Linked DNA regions of Arabidopsis thaliana. The protein of the gene in region 2 interacts with the protein of the main gene of each other region in a pairwise test. Each region holds a gene or a part of one and is shown on either strand. Other genes may lie near its edges.

Region 1 (9,273 bases), on a different chromosome or scaffold from region 2:
GGGATTCTAAAGATGCAACAAGATTGGTGAGCTGCTGAATTTCTCAGAAGTATTTTGGAATCTTCATCTACCCTTCGGATTTGTACGATGCAATCATCTTCCCCTGAAATTGTTGTGCTTCCTCCAGTGTGTTGCTTGGGAAGATACATGGCTCTCATCTAGTACTTGTATTTTTCTTGATCTTTTTTCTCTTGACAAGAAAATATCAAACGGTTTAGTGAACATTAAAACGAAAACAAAATGATTATTGTAAGACCATCAAATGAATTAAAGACCGAAATAATGAATTAACAAGGTCTAACATTTATTATCATCAAAAAGTCACCTTATGATCTAAAAATTATGTCAAGAAAATTAGATAATTATATCAATTTGACCCAAAATAACAATAATTATGCACCTCTTATATATTGGCTCAGTTATATATTCGAAAATCTACCCTTCACCTATATATGAAAAATTTAAGAAAACGAATTTTCAGAGTCATGTCTCTTCCCATGCAATCCATTGTATAAGCTGAATTGAGGATAACAAAGCTGCAGATTTCATTATGTAAGTTTTCATTATAAATGTAATGTTACTAATCATAATCTATATTTCATACATATGCATAGTAAAATAATGGTCTATGATAAGGAATAAGAATCCGACAAACAAGAATTACGACATGCGCTCCATCTCTGAATCAGCTAATCAAAGATTAGATAGAAAGAAAAGCAGTCGTTGACTTTTACTTTCATGTGGCATTATAAAAAACGGATGGTTGTTATTATATACTTTCAACTTGATCTAGCTAGTTGCCTAGTTTGTTCGTCCAGACCACTACTAGTATTTTGTAAATAATACCAATTTTACTTTTCTTATAGTAAGCTGTGAAAGACATGTGGTAATAGAAATTATATAGAGCAAATAATTACGAGTGTATTAACGTAATTTTATATTATAAAATGCTAGTATTATATTAAGGGTGTCTTAAAAATAACAATAAACCCAACAAAAGTGTTTTAAAGAATACATTTTTGACATACTGTCTCACCTTATCCTAGAAAATTACTTTTCAATATTGATATTTCTTTTTAAAAATTATGTTAAGACACTTATAAAAATAATGCAATGGAAATGTTCTTAGGTTACATAAAGAATATTGACGTCATCAATAGGTGGTCTCATGCTCGTAGAATATCATTTGTAAATAATGTCGTTTTATATAATCCAAAAACAGACTTGAAACATAATGTAATTTCAGTTTTGTCATCATTAGCTTAGCTTATTCACCTAAAGAGTTAAACTTATATTGTTTATCAGTAAAAATATCTATAAGCTATAGAGGCTTCAGGCTTGCTTAAACAGTCCTTGTAATTACTTTCATAAATAGAATCTACGTATAAAAATATTATGATTTTATACACGTTTAATGCATGTGTGAAAAGGTTAAAAATATACAAAATAGACTTCCACAAATAGTTCCACTCATCAAAATTAAACATGACCTTCGAGGCAGAACATCACGAGTTGACGTAATGGTGTATGTAATCTATTCATTTATGTAAGATTCTATGTTTTTAAGCAAATCGTTTCTTTTTTGGTATCAAGCAAATCGTTTCATAATTAGCATATAATGTTTTCTAGTTTCTTTATCCTTTCAATGTGTCAAGCTTCATTTTCTATTAATCATTTTGAATAGACCGAACGCAAGAAGATGTGTGTGCTTCGGCCAATAGCAAGAAAAATCAAACCCTTGTAAATATTACATTTTCTCAAACAAATCCGGTTTTACATATTCTACTTCTGCTCCAAATATGAAAAATACTTCGGTTCAAATCCGGTTCACCCTCAGGAATTTAAACTTTGTTATTCACCCTATTTTATTTTGCTAATCATAATATACCACTTAATTAAAAATATTAAATTATAAAAATTAATTTGCCACCAAAAACAGTTATATATTAGTTTGAGTTTATAAGAAAATAGTTAAGATTAAAATTTAATAATTAAACAAGATAAAATATAGGTTTGAGTTTATAAACGAGTTTAGATTTTTTTCAACTAGATGAGGTTAATTGTTGGTATGAGTTTATAAAAAGGTTTACATTTTACATTTTTAAACGAGGTTAAATATATCAATTTGGGTTTAGAAAAAATGGTTAGGATTATAGACGTTAAAACTAAACGAGGTTAAATGTTGGTATGAGTTTGTAAAGGAGAATTATGGTTTAGTTTGTAAATAAACGAGGTCAAATTAAATGTTGGGTTTGGTTTATAAACATATTTAGATTTTACAATTAAACGAGGTTAAATGTGAGTTTGGGATTAGAAAGAATGGTTAGAATTTATATTTTACAATTAAACAAGGTTAAAATGTCGGTTTTGAGCTTTTAAAGATGAATGAGAGTTTAGATTTTATAATTAAACGAGATTATAGATCGATTTAGGTTTACACAAAAAGTGGTTGAAATTTATATTTTATAATCAAATGAATTTTTAATTTATTTATTAGATGATAGAGTTTTATTGGCCGGAAATAAACTCTTAGGGGTGAATATAAATATTGTTCTCGGATTATCTAATCAATAACATAAATACTTAAATAGTCACAATTCTCAAATATATACAATCTCATAAAAAGGAAAACATTATTAAATAGTTTTAGCTGAAAAATCTAGTGCAATCAAAAGTAAAACTGATCATAACGATCCCACGAGTCTGGGTTGTCAAATAACAAATCAGAATTAAAGTCAGCACTTTCACTGCCAGATGACGATGAAGGAGGATAAGAGCCTGATGGTGATGATAGATATTCTTCTATAACATCTTGACAATCTTGGTCATTACTGGTTATCTCACGGTACTGATCTATAGCTTGCTCTTTGATGATATCTTCTTCATGCTTAACCGATAAGGAGAAACCGTTCGAGCGGCTTTCCTTCTCCTGATCCTGATCTTTTCCGAATCGGATCATTTGGGTACTTTTAAAGTCATCTAGGGGATCTTGTCCGGCAATAAAAATGGCATCTAGATTATGTTCGGTTTTGCAAGTGTGGTGGCCAAAGTAAGTGGTTCGGTAAACCGGAGGATTGTCTTTGATCTTTTGTTCATGCTTTCTTGCTTCGCAGTTATGATCTTTGTTGTAAGAACATCTATAGTAACTCCTGTTACCATCATCATACACCAATTAGTATGAGTGATCGGGATAGAAATAATTATGATGAAATATGATTAGCTATACTATTTCTTACCTTTGGTGATTAGATTTTTTTATACTCTTTTGACCATATTTCCTCCAAAGATACCCGTCGTAGTAAATCGGATCCGGTGAATCGTCCCTCCAATTCTCACTTGAATTTGTACTATCAATCTTTCTGCAAACATGAGTATTATCAAAATATTAGCATTAAAATCAACATATACTCCTAAGAAAAAAAATACTTATATTAAGAATTGTGGTTTCATTTGGAAAAACAAAAACAAACTCAAAAAAGAAAACAAACTCATAAGTGTATACCTTTTCTTGGAGGGGCTCCCCTGTGGAGGAGGAGAAGAATCCCTAGAAGATAAATCAGAAAACTGATCATCTTCGGTTTCTGGTTTAGCAGATAAGATTGAAATGGCATTGGAAAAACTTTCAACGATCGATTTAGCAAGATCATAACTTGAAAGCGGTCCACCATCAGCCATTGGATGGTTGAGCCGCCTCTTCAACCGCATGGCGCAGCTATGGCCATAACGGATAGCTTGCACCGCCTTTTCGTGTGGGGAGTTCATTTCCATAGAGTATAGTGAACTTGTGTGTGTGTGTATGTGTTTCTTGTTTGTTTTCTTTTTCTCAAGTCTCTTCTCTGTGCTATAAACTTTTGAACGGATAGGGAGATCAGAATTTATAGGACTAGTCGTACATACACGTTCCCAAATGACTTTGCCAATTTGGGTTTACCAAATATAATTTACATACACTAGGTTATATTTTAAGAAGCCAATGATAAATTATAATTTCGATATAGGACATGTGCTCTGCTAGACTTATATGCGTGAATCTAAATAAAGAGAGACAAAAAGATAGATTAGGTGTTGACATTAGCATATGATCTGTCATGATGTATAGGAAACAGAGTTTATTTTATATACCTTTCCCAGTACGCGGCTCACTTAATTATATACAATCTGTTTTTAATTGTTTCAGAATTTATCTGTTTCTCTTATTACACTAATCTACGCGGTTCGCTTAATAATTAAAGATTAAAAATTAAAAACTACTCCTTTCAGAACACTAAAAGGTTTCAAGATAGGAGGAATCTAATAGAAAACTGTGTTCTACAAAGTCAGATATATTAGAGAGAGATATGAGCTATGATAAACCCCAAATTAGCAATGATTTTAAAATTTTCTTTTGTAATCTTTCCATTTCAATATGTGTCGCAATTTTTTTTATTTTTTTTTTGAAAATATATAGCAGATGAAATTTAAGAATAAATTTGTTTGCTTAATTTTGTTGATTGTATATCGTTAAATATTTTTTATTTAATATTTTGATAGGTGGTTTTAATTATAATTTATACGGTAACTAATAATATAGAGTTTTGAAAATAATATATTTTACGTTCATATGACAAAAAAAAACAAATGTATGTAATAGATTGGATGTTCACAAAAAAAAAAAGTATAACATATTTTACACGTCCATCGCAATGTTTACCTCATCAAAGATGAAACGTGTACAAATAATGTTTTTTTGCTCAATATAATAAGCTTCGAACACATATGATATGATCAATTCATTTTTTTGTAATGAAAATACTCCACTAGTCGTGGATATCTTTAATGGTAAAATTATCTAATTTTTTGGTGAGTTTTGGTTCAGATTTTAAATAAAAATGTAAGTATTTAGACCAGACAAAAGATAATTATTAGGTAATAGAATAACATTAACAAGTAAGATCTAGACAATTTTTCAACGCTTAAAGAGAGAAATAATTGCGATGTAGCTGGCGAGTGGCGACTAATGCACCAATGAAAACGGCATTAGTTTCGTCGGACACTCGACGTCAGCCCCATGACGTAGTTTTTGTTGAAGGGGCTGATTCAGCAGATTGACGTCAGAACGAAGCAGCAATGTTGATTATATTATATACTAACAACAACTAGTCAACTATGCCGTGATGTGAGATTCATTCGTTGGCTACTCGGTCCATATTTTAATTTAATCTAAAATTTTAAGAATTTATAATTAATAAGCTTTGCAAAAGATAACTGGTAATCTTGAATCCTTTTTCTTTAGGTAAACTTGAATCTTATATGAAAGAAAAATTAGTAATTACATTTTAAGCGGATAAAATGATATAATATACGTACAAAAGCTTGTTTTGAATATATAGTATAATCTGAAAGCTAACCAATCCAAGTTATACAATCATATTTTAAAACTAATAGATGGTCAATCCAAAACAATTTATCCTTATCAGATTGTATACATCGATGGTATTTTCAGGCCATGAATTAACACCATTCATGAAACTATACAACAAATTACAAAGTTTGTAAAGAATGTTAAGTTCTATCTACCCATCAATTTAACAACCCTATCTTCTTCTGCGGGTGGTTAATGTAAATTGATAGATATCAACACATAAGAGATATATATATATATATATATATATATATATATATATATAAACTTTCGCACGTGACTTTGATCTGATCTGTGAAACGTTGCCCACATGTATTTTGTTCTTGTTATTAGCAAATTGTTAAATATTGTATAGGTATTAGTACTATATTGAGTAAGGGGTCACATATGTACAAGTCAAGCAAAGCTATGGGTCAAGTCACATTATTTTATGGTGCGAAAGGAAAGTGAATGTGAACATGACTTACATGACAATAATGGTGATACATTTTTTTAATAATTTTATTTATTAGCTAATTAAACCAAGTAGTTGGAACGTAGCTTCCATGTCTTCTTTAATCTGACGACGACTTCAACAAAATTCCCCATTTTCAATAATCCTACAGAACTTTAAAACTTATCTTTATATTAACTTCTTCAGGACTTTTCAATTCAAGATATTTATCTTTGGATTCGTGCTTCCAGCTTTAGTCAAATATATACTTTTGACGTCCTGATTTTTCCAAATAAGGAAAAAAAAGATCCATCGTGCTTGCTCGTGATCTTACATTTTTCCTACTTAACTAATAGATGACCTCCCCAACTTAAATTTCTTAACCACATTTATCTATACAAAAGGACAGGCTACATCCTAGAAAGAAAATAATTAGCAACAACATTGAGACAATATATCGCTTTTTGGTTATATAATTAAGGATTTTATTAGACCAGGATGACAGGAAATTGTTTCGCCCTTTCAATAAGGCCATTTGAAATGCTTGAACTTTGTTATAATCGGAGTCGGTTATTGATAGTCAATTTTTGCAAATGAAGACTCAGGTTGAGTGAACTCAAAACTAACTAAGGATAGTTAGTGGACTACGGTTTCCTTGAACCACCTTTCAACAGACTTGTAGAAAAAAAAACACATGATCCAGCTACCTTCTTTTTCATTGTGGGTTTGTAAAATGCAAAGTAGCAAAACATTTTTCTAATGAAAAAACAAATGGGCTGGAAAGTATAGTTGTCACAACTCAAAATTAAGTAAGCCCAACAAAATAAAGACCTATTAGTCATTGTTCTTTTAATGACTTCTAAAGGTTATCGTTGTTTTTATATATAACAAAAATATACCTCGTATCATGACAGTACAGTAGGTCGGAACGGCCACCCGATCAACTCTTGAAGACGAAGACATAGGCATCGAAACACTCTGATCTCATCCAGAAGACCTATCTCACAACTTGGCTCTATAGTTTGCAACGCACATACCAGTTTTTATTACCCTCTTGATAGTTTATCCTCTAATCAACAAAAAAGTCATGGCAAATATGTTAATACTTTGACAAAAAATAAACAATAAGTTACCACACATGGTTAACACATTGAAAATAAGTTTTATACATACAGATAAAAATGGTGGAAAACTATGAAATTTACCACATAATCAATTTCTTTTAACCACATTCCATTTGAAATCTCGAAAAAATAGTACCAATAATGTTAGGCATCGGGTCGATATAATGTCATTTTCAGTGGGAATTATTTAAGAGCATGGCCACATGCATGCTGCTTTAATCATATCTTTAAAAGGGAAATAATGAAGAAAATAAAATTGATGGGTCCAAGTTTCATATGACTGGAGAAGAATGAAGGAGTGCAAGAAGGATCATAGAAAATAAATAGTATGGCTGAATCAAACTTTTTTGTAAAAGGGGTTCACAAAAGATGTTGAGCTGACACATATCCATGCACCATGTTTTTCTTTCCATTGGATTTTTTATGTCTCTCAGATCTTGTTCACATAAAAGAAAAGATTTTTATACCTTTGATTAATTAGGGTTGAGTGATTAGCATATTCAAATCTAACTCTTTTTTTTTATAAGAATGTAAATCTTCATTTTACAATGAAAAGTTGTTACACAATTAAGCATCACATGCCAAAAAAGGATTAAAAAAATATGGAAGCACACCACCTTCTTGCACCAAATCATCAAGGCAACCATTGCTAATGGTAGAAGACATCATGATGCAAGACAAAAATGTTTCCCTAAAATGAATCTAACTTGAAATGAAAGAAATTAACTACCAGGTCAACTGAATCCACTTTGGTATGATTTCAGTTTGGTTCTGTCAAATCAGGGAAAATTGATTTGAATTGTAAAAACCTTAAAATAGGATTAGTTACTCCTGTAGTTTCCTTTGGATCAATATATTCTATTGAATTTATTCACGTTTTTGGTCGAGGAAAATGTTAATTAATCCAAAATTTTCCATCATTTTGATTTTGATATAAGTATAACTACCTCATTTTATTATAGGCCAGTTAATTTTATAAGACGAAATCCGCCCACCCGTTAAAGATTGATATAATCATATCGATTTGATCGAGTACATGCATGAATATGGAGAAAATTACAACAAACCAAACAAATGTGAGGTTATTTTCAGTTCTTGTGGGTACACATTGTAGGGCAACTCAAATGGGACTTGAGAGTACCTGAATGAATCATTTCTCTTCTTCACATACATACTATAAGAAAATAAATAATACCATCACCGTGAGCAATATTTATGTCGCCATAATCTTTAATATGTTTCCAAATAAATTAAAGATAACAATACATGGTGATAGACAACGATGGAAGTATGAAACCAACCTATCACGTGCTAATTTTTTTGTCACCATCGATAAGAGAGATTAACAGTACTAATTTTCTAATGGTAAGAGCTTACCTCAAGATTATTCGGTAGGGAAAATCAGCTATACAACGTTTTTAAAAATCAAAGAGAACTCGGAAAAAGAAAAAAAATTTGTATATCAATCACATCGAATGTGAGACTAAACCACGTTGATATTTTTTTCCTTACTTATAACAAAAAATAAATGGTTTTGAACGATAACTACGTACTGTTGTGGTACGAGGTATACCGTTTTGATAATTAACAATTACAATTATCATTCTAGAGGTACGAGGTTTTTTACCGTTTTATACTATTTCGTAACAATTTATCATTACAGTTTACAACTTTGTTGTGTTACCAATTGGACACAATATTTCACTTATCTTTTAAAAACGCAATAATGTTTCGAAAAACATCACTTCTGTTTTGGGATACGATTTAATAGGTAAGGCTAGAACAGCATTACTAGTGTTTAGTAAATGAACAAAATATATGTTTGATATAAATGTGTTGAGCTCTTCAGATATTTCAATCCTATAAATATATAGAGTGTGAATAGTTGCACCAGTTCAGGCGGACAAATCCGTGTGTGGATTATACAGTTTTTGTTTTAACATTCATAAATTATAGTCCGTAGAAATACGGACAAAAAAAATAAAATAAAAAACCGTCGCGGACCAACCACGAACCGCTTTTAACTTTAAGTAGAGTTAGTCCGTAATGGTCTTTTGTCCGGTCTAAAAATATAGTAAACTAAACCGCTGAAAATTTATCCACCCCTACCACCGTCACCATTCAAACTAGAAGCAGACACAACCCAGAAACAATACTAATTTGTATGGTCAATGTGGTCACAAAAAGACGGTCAAAATTTCAAATAGTAGATTAAAAAATGGCTGGTGAAGTTATATCCATTGCAGTTTTATCAATAAAAACAACTAAAACAAAGTTCTTAGAATTGTTTGTTTTTTAGATTAGTCAAGAATTTT
Region 2 (10,232 bases):
ATTAAACAATTAAACAACTCGAATGATGATGATAAAAAAAAAAAATTAACAACTCGAATAAGTTAAAGTAGCAATACACATGTCGTTCAATTCAACCAATAAAGTAAGACTTATATTTTTAAGAAGTTGACTAATAGCTTAATAAGTTGGAAAACTTGTGTAGTTTCTTAATTCCCACGTGCAGTAAGAAATAAAAATGAAAAAAATTATTATATCCTTCCCACTCTGCGACTTTTCTTTTATTTTATCAAATATTAAAAAGATTCATATCACAGTTTACACATTGAAATCATAAACGATAATTATGTATTTTGTAATAAAAAGTTAGTTCTGAAGCTCATACTTTGGATAGTCGCTAGTCGCTAATATGCTCCTTGTAATAATTAAAGTCACTACGACGCACGTCAAAGCCGATATTTAGGGCTTAATTGATGCGTGTTTTTCTTTTCATATAATAGTAATATAAATTAGTACTAATAAAGTATGATGGATGGTTGAGACAGAAAAGAAAAAAGATGACTGTATGGTCATCATTACAAAGAAGAATGTATTCTTCATGTTCTTAAGAATAATAAAATGTCACTTGTAAATCAAGTTGGTAAGCATTTTGAGAACTTTGTTCGATGCAACGTATGATGATTTATGTAGACAAAAGATAAAACCGTATCTTCAACTATTGCCAAGAAAAGATAAAACCTAATCTAGTCAGTCTCTCAACATAAATACAACCCAATAGCCAAACTGTGTCCAATTCGGAGAGAAACTAAACTAAAACAAAACACAAAAGCCCAACATAAGCCCAATAAAACCCATTTTATAAACAGAACATTACTAACACTCATTTTTAGGGTTTATTCTTCATTGCTTGAGCTTCCTTCTCTTCTTCTTCTTCAAGCCGCGGCTAAAGATCCCTACTTCTCTCGACACTTATAGAGTTTCAGGTCCATTCTCTGATTCCTGTTTTTTCATTTTCTAATTTCCTATTTACGGGTTTTTACTAATCTTCTATTGATCCTCCAGTCATGGCCGCCTCCGCAGAAATCGACGCTGAGATTCAACAGCAGCTTACCAATGAGGTTAAGCTCTTCAACCGTTGGAGCTTTGATGACGTTTCGGTATATTCCTCACCAATCCCTTCTCTTAGAATATCTCTTTAGACACTTGAGAATTGTCTAGGATCTAATTCTTATTTAGCTGTATGATAGACATTGAAATGATTGGTTTATATTGATATGAGTAGTTACATTAGCTTTATTGTGTGAATTATATCAAATTATAGTCCTCACTTAGTCACTTACTAGATCTTAGCTATTATAATCTTTGTCCGTCTTCACTGAAACCCATGTTGTGTTTGTTTTGATTATAACACTAATTTGACACTAAAGGTCATGTATTTTTTGTGTTTTATATGATTGGTGTGCTAATATTTGTTTTTGATCTGCATATTGGTGTTATGTAGGTTACGGATATTAGTCTTGTGGACTACATTGGTGTTCAGCCATCGAAGCACGCAACTTTTGTTCCCCATACTGCTGGACGATACTCTGTGAAGAGGTTCAGAAAGGCGCAGTGCCCAATTGTTGAGAGGCTCACTAACTCTCTCATGATGCACGGAAGAAACAATGGTAAGAAGTTGATGGCTGTCAGGATCGTCAAGCATGCCATGGAGATTATCCACCTCTTGTCTGACTTGAACCCGATTCAAGTTATCATTGATGCCATTGTTAACAGGTATATTAAGATTGCTATACTGAAACCTGTAAAATTCTTGCGTGCTTGTTACTATGAACTGAATCTAATTAAGAAGGTTTGTTCTTTATGTGAATTAGTGGTCCACGTGAAGATGCTACCAGGATTGGATCTGCTGGTGTGGTTAGGAGGCAGGCTGTTGATATCTCTCCTCTAAGACGTGTGAACCAAGCGATCTTCTTGCTTACAACTGGTGCACGTGAAGCTGCCTTTAGAAACATCAAGACAATCGCTGAGTGCCTTGCTGATGAACTCATCAATGCTGCAAAGGGATCTTCCAACAGGTAAGAACACTCTATCTACATAGTCTGTCTCTTGATGGCTTCACTTTATTGTTAGTTAGTTAAGCTAATAATAGCATCTTCTCTTGTCTTGCAGCTATGCCATCAAGAAGAAAGATGAGATTGAGAGAGTTGCTAAGGCCAATCGTTAAGGGATCTCCCTTTCCTCTAAGTTTGCATTATATCAAAGAGTTTTTGTGTTGTTTCCATTAGCTTTGGATATGTTTCAGATGATCTCTCTATCTTTAATGAAATTTTGACGCTTATAATCGACTTGGGATCTTGATCATCAAACGGTTTCATATTTAAAATTATTTCATCTATATATTTTTCAGTTTAAAGTGCTATAAATCATGGTAGTTATATGGTTTCCAATTTGCTGCTACTCCAAGATAAAAGATGTAGATGGAGCCATGAAAAATTTCAGATAACTCAAACAATCTATTTTGAGTCTCTAAGGACACAACCAATGCCTCTAATTTCCCTGTCAGTCTTCCAAGCACCATGTACATTGCATTTAAAGGCATTTGGGCTCAATGGTGTCCATACCGTAAGTAGCATTTCTGGATGGCAAATCATGTGTATATGCCCACATGGCTCAAGTCGGGTGGTTAAGGGCTTCTCAATTCCGAGACATGACCCGCCTTTCAATCCTACGGACAAGATATACAAGGCGTGATCTTGACATGTGATTCTTTCTCCCTTCGACTCACGCCGCGAAAATGTAAACAAGTATCGGATAGATAACTCATTAAGCTTATGAGTTTATCTTATGTTCCTTGGAAAGGTAGTACAATACCAACGTGGTTACTGAGATCTAGAGGATTTCGATAGACCACCAATGTAATTGAGTTACACCGATGGAAATTGCATTATGTTTAGCAACGTGAACAGAAAAGAAATGGTCCCATGAAGTCAAATTTCTCAAGTTCGATAAACTAAACATATTGAAGAAAGTTACCCCTAAAAAATATAACACACGTTTTTATTTGGATTTGTTAAAATAACATCAATCTTCTTGTCCTTACAATCTTAATGTAAAAACAAATAAATTCACACGATTAATTAACTAATGTGGTATAAAGATTGAAGAAACAGGCATGAATTGATCAAATGGCTTTTGCTTAGGAAGTTGTGAGTGAAGAGCAAATGGTGATTGTATTTACCATTTGCTTCTTCTTTTTTCTCATTCTTAACAAAAAAAGAAAAAGAAAAAAGAAAAAGCATGAATGGATCATCAAATCAAATTGTTTGCTTAGAAAGTTGTGGGGAGTTAAAGGGAAGAGTAGAGGAAGATGGAGGGCTCAAGAGCAAATGATGATTATGTTTACCCTCGTAGGTTGTAATGAAAGCTCTTGGATCATCACTCGCTCGTTCAACATGTTTCCTTGCTCTGCAATTAGCACTTGTGCATCTGTAATAACTTCTTGGATACGCATTGCCTCCTACCACTTTTTGTCCATACTTTCTCCACCTGAATCCATCTTCAAGACTGTCTGATTCCACTGAGCCTTGCGATACTCCTGCTTCACTAGATTGCTTCTCGTTCTTCCTGTTATCAAACACAAAGTCAATACAAGCAATGTAAACAAAATTGCAGAAGTTAAGAGTTTGAAACAATCTTACCTTCTTTTGCTTCTGCTTGGATCATCAAGCTCTCCTTCATCACATTGGCTACTCTTGCAACCGGAATCTGAAGTTCCGGGATTTGAATTTGTCGATCTTGGAACAGCAAACTCAAATGGTGTAATAACACAACCTTCACTCATCTTCTCTGTTCTGTTTTGAGTAGAGTCATTGCTTTGATTGTTCCATAGAGGAGAATAGAGATTATTGTTAGGGTCTTGTCCCATTGATCCTTCAGAAGCAATCGATTTTGGTGGTTTTTGAAACCCTGAAGAGATTGATGATGAAGCACGCCGTGGAAGAGGACAAGATGGCTTTGAGTGATTATGTTCACCTTGATACACAATCTCTGAAACTTGACCTTCCACTGATCTCTCTACTTTCTTCTTCACCGGACATTTCGGGTGTGTGCATTTGTAATAACTCCTTGGACACTCACTTCCTTTAACTTGCTTCTGTCCGTATTTCCTCCAGTTGTATCCATCCACAGAAGATCTATCCCCAGTAGATGTCTCTGATTCCGTAAAAGATGGAACTTTCTGGACTAGATTAGGACCTGCTCGATGTGTACCTTGGCTCACACTCTTCCCATAGGATACTGCTTCGCTTTGTCTCCAAGTTTGTTGACGATTCCCCTGAAGCTAAAGAAAACAGAATTAAACAACATTCGAAAGTCAGTGACCTTGTTAGCTTTAAAATCAACTTACCATATTAGCCAATGCAGAGACGGTTGCTTTGGAGACAAGCTTTGCTTTCGGTTTATAAACGACGTAGTTTCTGCTATCTGAATCATCATCACAAGACATTCCATTTCCAATACCTTTTACTTCAGCCTATCATTATCAGAAATAGTTGAGTCAAGACTAGAGGATGCGGAAAGAAGATAACAATGCGAAGAATTAAATAGACAACTCGATACCCGTGGACATGAGACCGAAGCTGCTACTGGCTGATTGAATCTCAAAGTCTTTGGTCTTATAGCAGCGTCTACAATCTCGTGGCAAGTCGTTTGCGGAGATACGGTAACTGAATCAGTAAGAAGCTCAGTGAATGTCCTGAAGCCAGAACTTGAAGAAGGTCTTGAGGCAACTGGTTTTGCTATTACCACTCTTTCACCATCATTCACCTCCATTACTTGACCTTAATCAATTATGTAAGAGACATATTTATCAGATTCTATAGGTAAAGACTCATTTTTCCAAATTAGGAAAAGAAAGATGGAGCAAAATCAAAGAAGATGATTGGAGAAACATCAATTCCATTAGTACAAGATCTAGTTGCAAGTTATAGCATAAAGAAAGAAACTTGACTAGTGAATCATTACCAAAAGTAGAACACTCACGACGGTGAATGCAAAAACTGAAGTTGTGATAAGGATTTGAAGAATCTCTCCTTTTTAGGAGTTAGGGAACGAAGAAAATCTGATGGATCCAAATTGATCCGGATCCGGTTTGTGATTATTGAGAGATGATGATGTATTTCTTGGTATGAGTTCCTTGAGCTTTAGCCGACACTGTGATGGATACACGTGTCAGTATAGGGAACGTTGGATGGATCAAGGTCAGTTTTAGTCTCTATAGTGATGAAGAAGCCAATGAAAAGGAAAAAGAGAGATAGAGGAGATGGACACTCGTTGAACGTTAGTTGAAGTTGAAAGTTAGTTGGAAAACGCGGCCACAAGGAACGGTGTCGTTTGGTTTTAGTTGAAGACTACAGCGACCAAAAGAACTTATTGGTTGTTGACACGCGCACGAGCCTGTTCTGTTCGAAGTAAACACGTGAACTGAACTGTACCAACTTATTTTATTTTAACTCAACCCAACCAAATTGAATTCGGTTTATTTCGGTTACACCTCTGTTAGATAAGAGACGAAGAAAATTCAGTCATCTTGTCCAATACTTTTCACTACATGAGTTAATAAAATATTATTAAATACCACTACCCAATGATCATTTGACGAAAATATTTATTAAACCTATCAATTGTTACTTTGTTAGCTTGCAATTTATAACAATATTGGAGTTTCAACAAATATTGGAGTTGACATTATTAATTGTCTAACTAATATGTTAGGTTAGTTAAGAAGATTGTTGAAGCTAATCAATGTGGTTAATTAAGAAGATTGTTGAAGCTTAATCAATGTATATAAACACTTGTACACAGTTTTAGTTTCTATGAAGATTTCTCTTTTCTTATCAACTCTCCTCTCTACTTCTTCCTTGCCTTGTGATTCGTCAATAATTTTGCGTTAGGCATTTTCTGTAATCTTAAATCATGTTTTAAATTATTTCGTTCATGACAATGATTTCTCTCATCGAGACCTCTCAGTGAAAGGAGTTTAGTTCCGGTTAGCGTCAAAAACCAACAACATTACAGCTTTGATTGACCATCACAAAGGCAATCGAAGTACACGTTTGTCACTGTGATTTAGATTGCTATGAGCCAAGTCCCGTTCAGCATTTCAAATTGAATCTGTATTTACCATCCATACTCACGTAGGGAGAGTTAAAAACCAAAAAAAAATTCAGAGACGGCAAACGTAAAACAGAAGCTAGGTTTTGATCACAACAAATAACAGAGCAAGTAATACACAATGACCGATAATGAGAGCATCAATTCCATGATGTAAGGAACGATTCTATCCCGCACCGCCAATGCTAGGACAGTCAAGAGCTGGTTATAAGTTCCCGTTTAATCTATGCGGCTGTTTTACTTTACTGTCTGGTTGAGTTCTTTAACCAGCCAGCTCGGCCAGCCGCAATATCATCATTCATCACATTTTCCAAAAAAAACATATCACAAGAGCATAACGATTAAACTCAATGCATAACAAGTGGTGTAGAAGTATTGATACATTCCTGTAATGTCACTAGCAATCTCAAACAATCATGATACATCATATTTCTCTCATGGAGCCAAAATCCCCGGCTGGTGGAAAAATAATAGTTTGCGCAAGTGTGTATGATTATTTCTATTGAGGTGAAAAACAATCTAAGGTTTTCTTTTTACTTTTATTTCCAACACAAAATTGATTACGCATATGTATTCCACATGCAAAGAATTTTAAATACCGGGATTTGATAGTGAACTTATGCTGCGACAGACTGTTTCTCCTCGTAATCGTCAAGCCTTAAAGCTTCCAATAGCCTTGGCCATGACTCTGGGATGCCTCCAGGTAAGTCAAACTCCATAAGCTTTCCCTTGGTACGGTAGTATTCTTCAAGAGGCTGGCTCTGCATATAGAAAAATACAAAAAGGCACTAATTAACACCTGATCGTTCATAAACTAGCAATGGAAAAGGACAATAGAGGGGCTTACCGTTTCATTGTATATACGAAGCCTTGCTTTCACCACCTCTTCAGTATCATCAGCTCGAGTGACAAGCTTTGACATACATTGATGTGGAGGGAGAAGTGGATCCATACTAATTCCAGGTCTTCCATTCTCACCCTTTAAGTTGATGTGAGCTACATTAAAACCCTTGCCACATTGACTACATGTTCTCCTTCCAAGGCATTTGTCAACCAAAACTTCCTCAGGAAGCTTCAAATTCACCACCAAATCGATGTCAGTTACATCTCCCAGTATTTCCTGAACCAAAAGACAATCCACTGTTAGAAATGATAATGGAGATTGATTATCAAAAATTGCTTAAAACGAATAATACTTACAGCTTGTCTCATGGTACGAGGAAAGCCATCAAGGATAAACCCTGATTCACCTCTAGCTTCACCAGCCTCAAGTCTTTTGGACAATAAGTCTACAATGATCTCATCAGAAACCAATTTTCCCTGATTTACAATCTCCGATAGCTGCATCAAGTAACAAGAGATTGTTTAACAATTATGCATACAGATAACAAACAAAACAAAGCCATTGACTTTAATATATATGAATAGATCTGTTATGATACTGATCAAATGTAGTTAGAAACACTTTCAAATGGACTTAGCTCACTAGATCTATCGAGAGATAGACGGAAATTTTCAGATCCAATAATGAAAGTCCGATTAGCTAAACATTCAATTTCAGACTATATGGATCCAAAATCGAACAAAGAAGAGAATCTCCATCAGAATCACAGTAACAGAAAATGGGAAAGAAAAAAAAAGGTCGCACCTTTTGAGAGAGAGGTCCAGAAGATGCAAGCTCTTCACGGACGAGATCGCCGGTGGCGATGTGAGGAACGCCGAGAAGGGTTGATAGTCTACTAGCGTAAGTTCCTTTTCCAACACCAGGACATCCCAAAAACACCCACTGAACATTTCTATCTTTCGGAGCAACCCTGCTAGCTCCGCCGCCGTGAAGAAACGGCGAAGGCGACGACGCGTGGCTAGCTTCGGCTGAAGTAGAGTAGAAACGGTTACCAAAGCCAAAGAGGGAGGAGGATCTAGCCACACGCACTAATCTCGCCATTGCAGAAAGAGAAATGTAGAGAGATAGAAGCGGCTTGAGCTTTGAGCTTACCCTAAACAAGAACGTGCACGAACATATGCTCTTTAGATTCTTTTCCCATTTTGCCCTAAAGTTAACTGACGTGGCATGTGACTTTTTCTCTGAGATCATGGTTACATCATCTGACACGTGTAATAACCCAACTCCACGAGATTAACCAACGGTATGAGAAAATCGATTTCGATTTTAAATTGGGATTATTATTATTTTCAGCTTTCTCTGGAAGCAACAATGGCGATTGCTCTCTCGTCGTCGTCGACGATCACGTCCATTACTCTGCAGCCGAAGCTGAAGACGATTCATGGATTAGGGACAGTACTTCCTGGTTATTCGGTCAAATCTCACTTTCGTAGTGTCTCTCTCCGGCGTAGCGCCGTGGTCGTGTCGGCCATTACCGGAGCTTCTTCCGGTGAGCTTAAGTGTCTTCTCTTTCTATATTATATTGAATACGGAGATTCTAGATTACTTACTAGATTATATTGATTCTCCACAGGAGCTGGAATAGGGAAAGGTACAGCTGATTCGCTAGATACAGTGAAAGTCTTGGATTTGAGAGGAAATGAGATTCCGATTTCTGATTTATGGAAAGATAGGAAGGCCGTTGTTGCATTTGCTCGTCATTTTGGGTAATTTTCTCATTATATTTGATGATTCTGGTTTATGACTATGTGTAACTATCTAAGATTGCTTGTTATGTTTTCAGATGTGTGCTCTGTCGGAAACGAGCAGCTTATCTTGCAGAAAAGAAGGTAACAGAATGATCTTTGGTTTAAAAAGATTGGCCATTTATACACAATTGAAGTCATTGAGTGATACCTTTGAGATTTTTGTTTAGGATGTGATGGATGCATCTGGTGTTGCTCTTGTTCTGATCGGACCGGGAAGCATCGATCAGGTAAACAACATTTTGAATACGCAATTTTTGTAAGCGTAAGCAGTTTTAAGCTGCTGCTTCTCACGTTATGACCATCTATGTATGCAGGCTAATACTTTTGTGGAACAGACTAAGTTTAAAGGAGGTATGTTTTCTCTTGATTACTAAAAAAGCCTGGTGAGTAGTTCCTTTTATGAGATGATCTAATTATCTGTAATCAACTTTCTCTCAATACAGAGGTCTATGCGGATCCAAACCACGCATCATACGAGGCGCTTGAGTTCGTTTCAGGGGTTTCTGTTACATTTACACCCAAAGTAGAGTGACTTCTACTTAGCATATTATAATTAGGTAACCAAAATGTTCTGCTTTTGTGGTCTCAGACTCTCAGTAGCTTCTGTGGCATTATTATAGGCTGCTATGAAGATACTAGAGTCTTACATGGAAGGATACCGCCAAGACTGGAAACTCTCGTTTATGAAAGATACAGTTGAAAGAGGCGGCTGGTAAGTTTAAGAGTATATGAATCATTCATTCCTTCTGGTTAGAGATCGATGAGATTACTTTCCGTTTTTCTTAACAACTATTGTCACGGACCTTGTGCAGGCAACAAGGCGGAATCTTAGTTGCTGGCCCTGGGAAAGATAACATCTCTTATATACGCAAGGTAATCTCTTTCGTCTAATCTTGATTGTGAAACTAGCCTCATATTTGGGAACCTAGTATACCGATATATCTTTTCAAACACATTGTTGTTTTCAACAATTTGTTTGCGGATTTCAGGACAAAGAAGCCGGTGATGACCCGCCTGTTGAAGAGATCCTTAAAGCGTGTTGTGCTTGAAGAGTTGAAAGAATCGCAATCGAAAAATAGATATTTAAAAAACAGTAACGACACTGCTATGCCCGGATACTCAACTAAATCCATAAAACACCATTACCACAATCACAACGACCACATTTGATATATAGGTAGGGAAAGAAAAAAAGACAAGTCGTAGACCGAAAGTAATGATCATTGTTTCTTGATTTTTGATGATCATTATGACTTATGAGTCGAGATCAGCGAAGGATAAGTGTGGCCCTTGCTAGAAGATATATATTTTTATTTCCAAATAAAGATGTACATCAAATTCACATAATCCAGTTATCGAAACAATTTTGTCTCTATTGATATGATAACATAGTTGATCAAAGGTAAGACTATAGATTACTATCTTGAAGTCCCACAAAATATGTCAGCTTA

Evidence for each region.
Region 1: the proteins of TTG2 (region 2) and WRKY38 interact in a two-hybrid assay, tested with the Arabidopsis thaliana proteins (one large-scale study listed by BioGRID).

Annotation. Positions count from the first base shown.
Region 1 is NC_003076.8:7,492,940-7,502,212, forward strand, and holds WRKY38 (WRKY DNA-binding protein 38), read right to left. Parts: upstream 4,052-9,273; 5' UTR 3,769-4,051; coding exon 3,503-3,768; intron 3,360-3,502; coding exon 3,237-3,359; intron 3,150-3,236; coding exon 2,669-3,149; 3' UTR 2,516-2,668; downstream 1-2,515. Other genes in the region: AT5G22560 (transmembrane protein, putative (DUF247)), read right to left, coding at 1-158. UniProt on the Arabidopsis thaliana protein: Transcription factor. Interacts specifically with the W box (5'-(T)TGAC[CT]-3'), a frequently occurring elicitor-responsive cis-acting element.
Region 2 is NC_003071.7:15,639,833-15,650,064, reverse strand, and holds TTG2 (WRKY family transcription factor family protein), read right to left. Parts: upstream 5,255-10,232; 5' UTR 4,981-5,254; intron 4,797-4,980; 5' UTR 4,789-4,796; coding exon 4,576-4,788; intron 4,575-4,575; exon of another isoform or gene 4,490-4,574; coding exon 4,364-4,489; intron 4,298-4,363; coding exon 3,657-4,297; intron 3,583-3,656; coding exon 3,273-3,582; 3' UTR 2,989-3,272; downstream 1-2,988. Other genes in the region: RPS5B (ribosomal protein 5B), read left to right, coding at 1,023-1,115, 1,460-1,731, 1,830-2,033, 2,128-2,182; ADK (adenosine kinase), read right to left, coding at 6,747-6,890, 6,977-7,249, 7,330-7,470, 7,778-8,074; AT2G37240 (Thioredoxin superfamily protein), read left to right, coding at 8,345-8,522, 8,607-8,739, 8,817-8,862, 8,949-9,008, 9,096-9,132, 9,225-9,304, 9,402-9,493, 9,594-9,654 and 1 more. UniProt on the Arabidopsis thaliana protein: Transcription factor. Interacts specifically with the W box (5'-(T)TGAC[CT]-3'), a frequently occurring elicitor-responsive cis-acting element. Regulates trichome development, production of mucilage and tannin in seed coats, and maybe root hair development.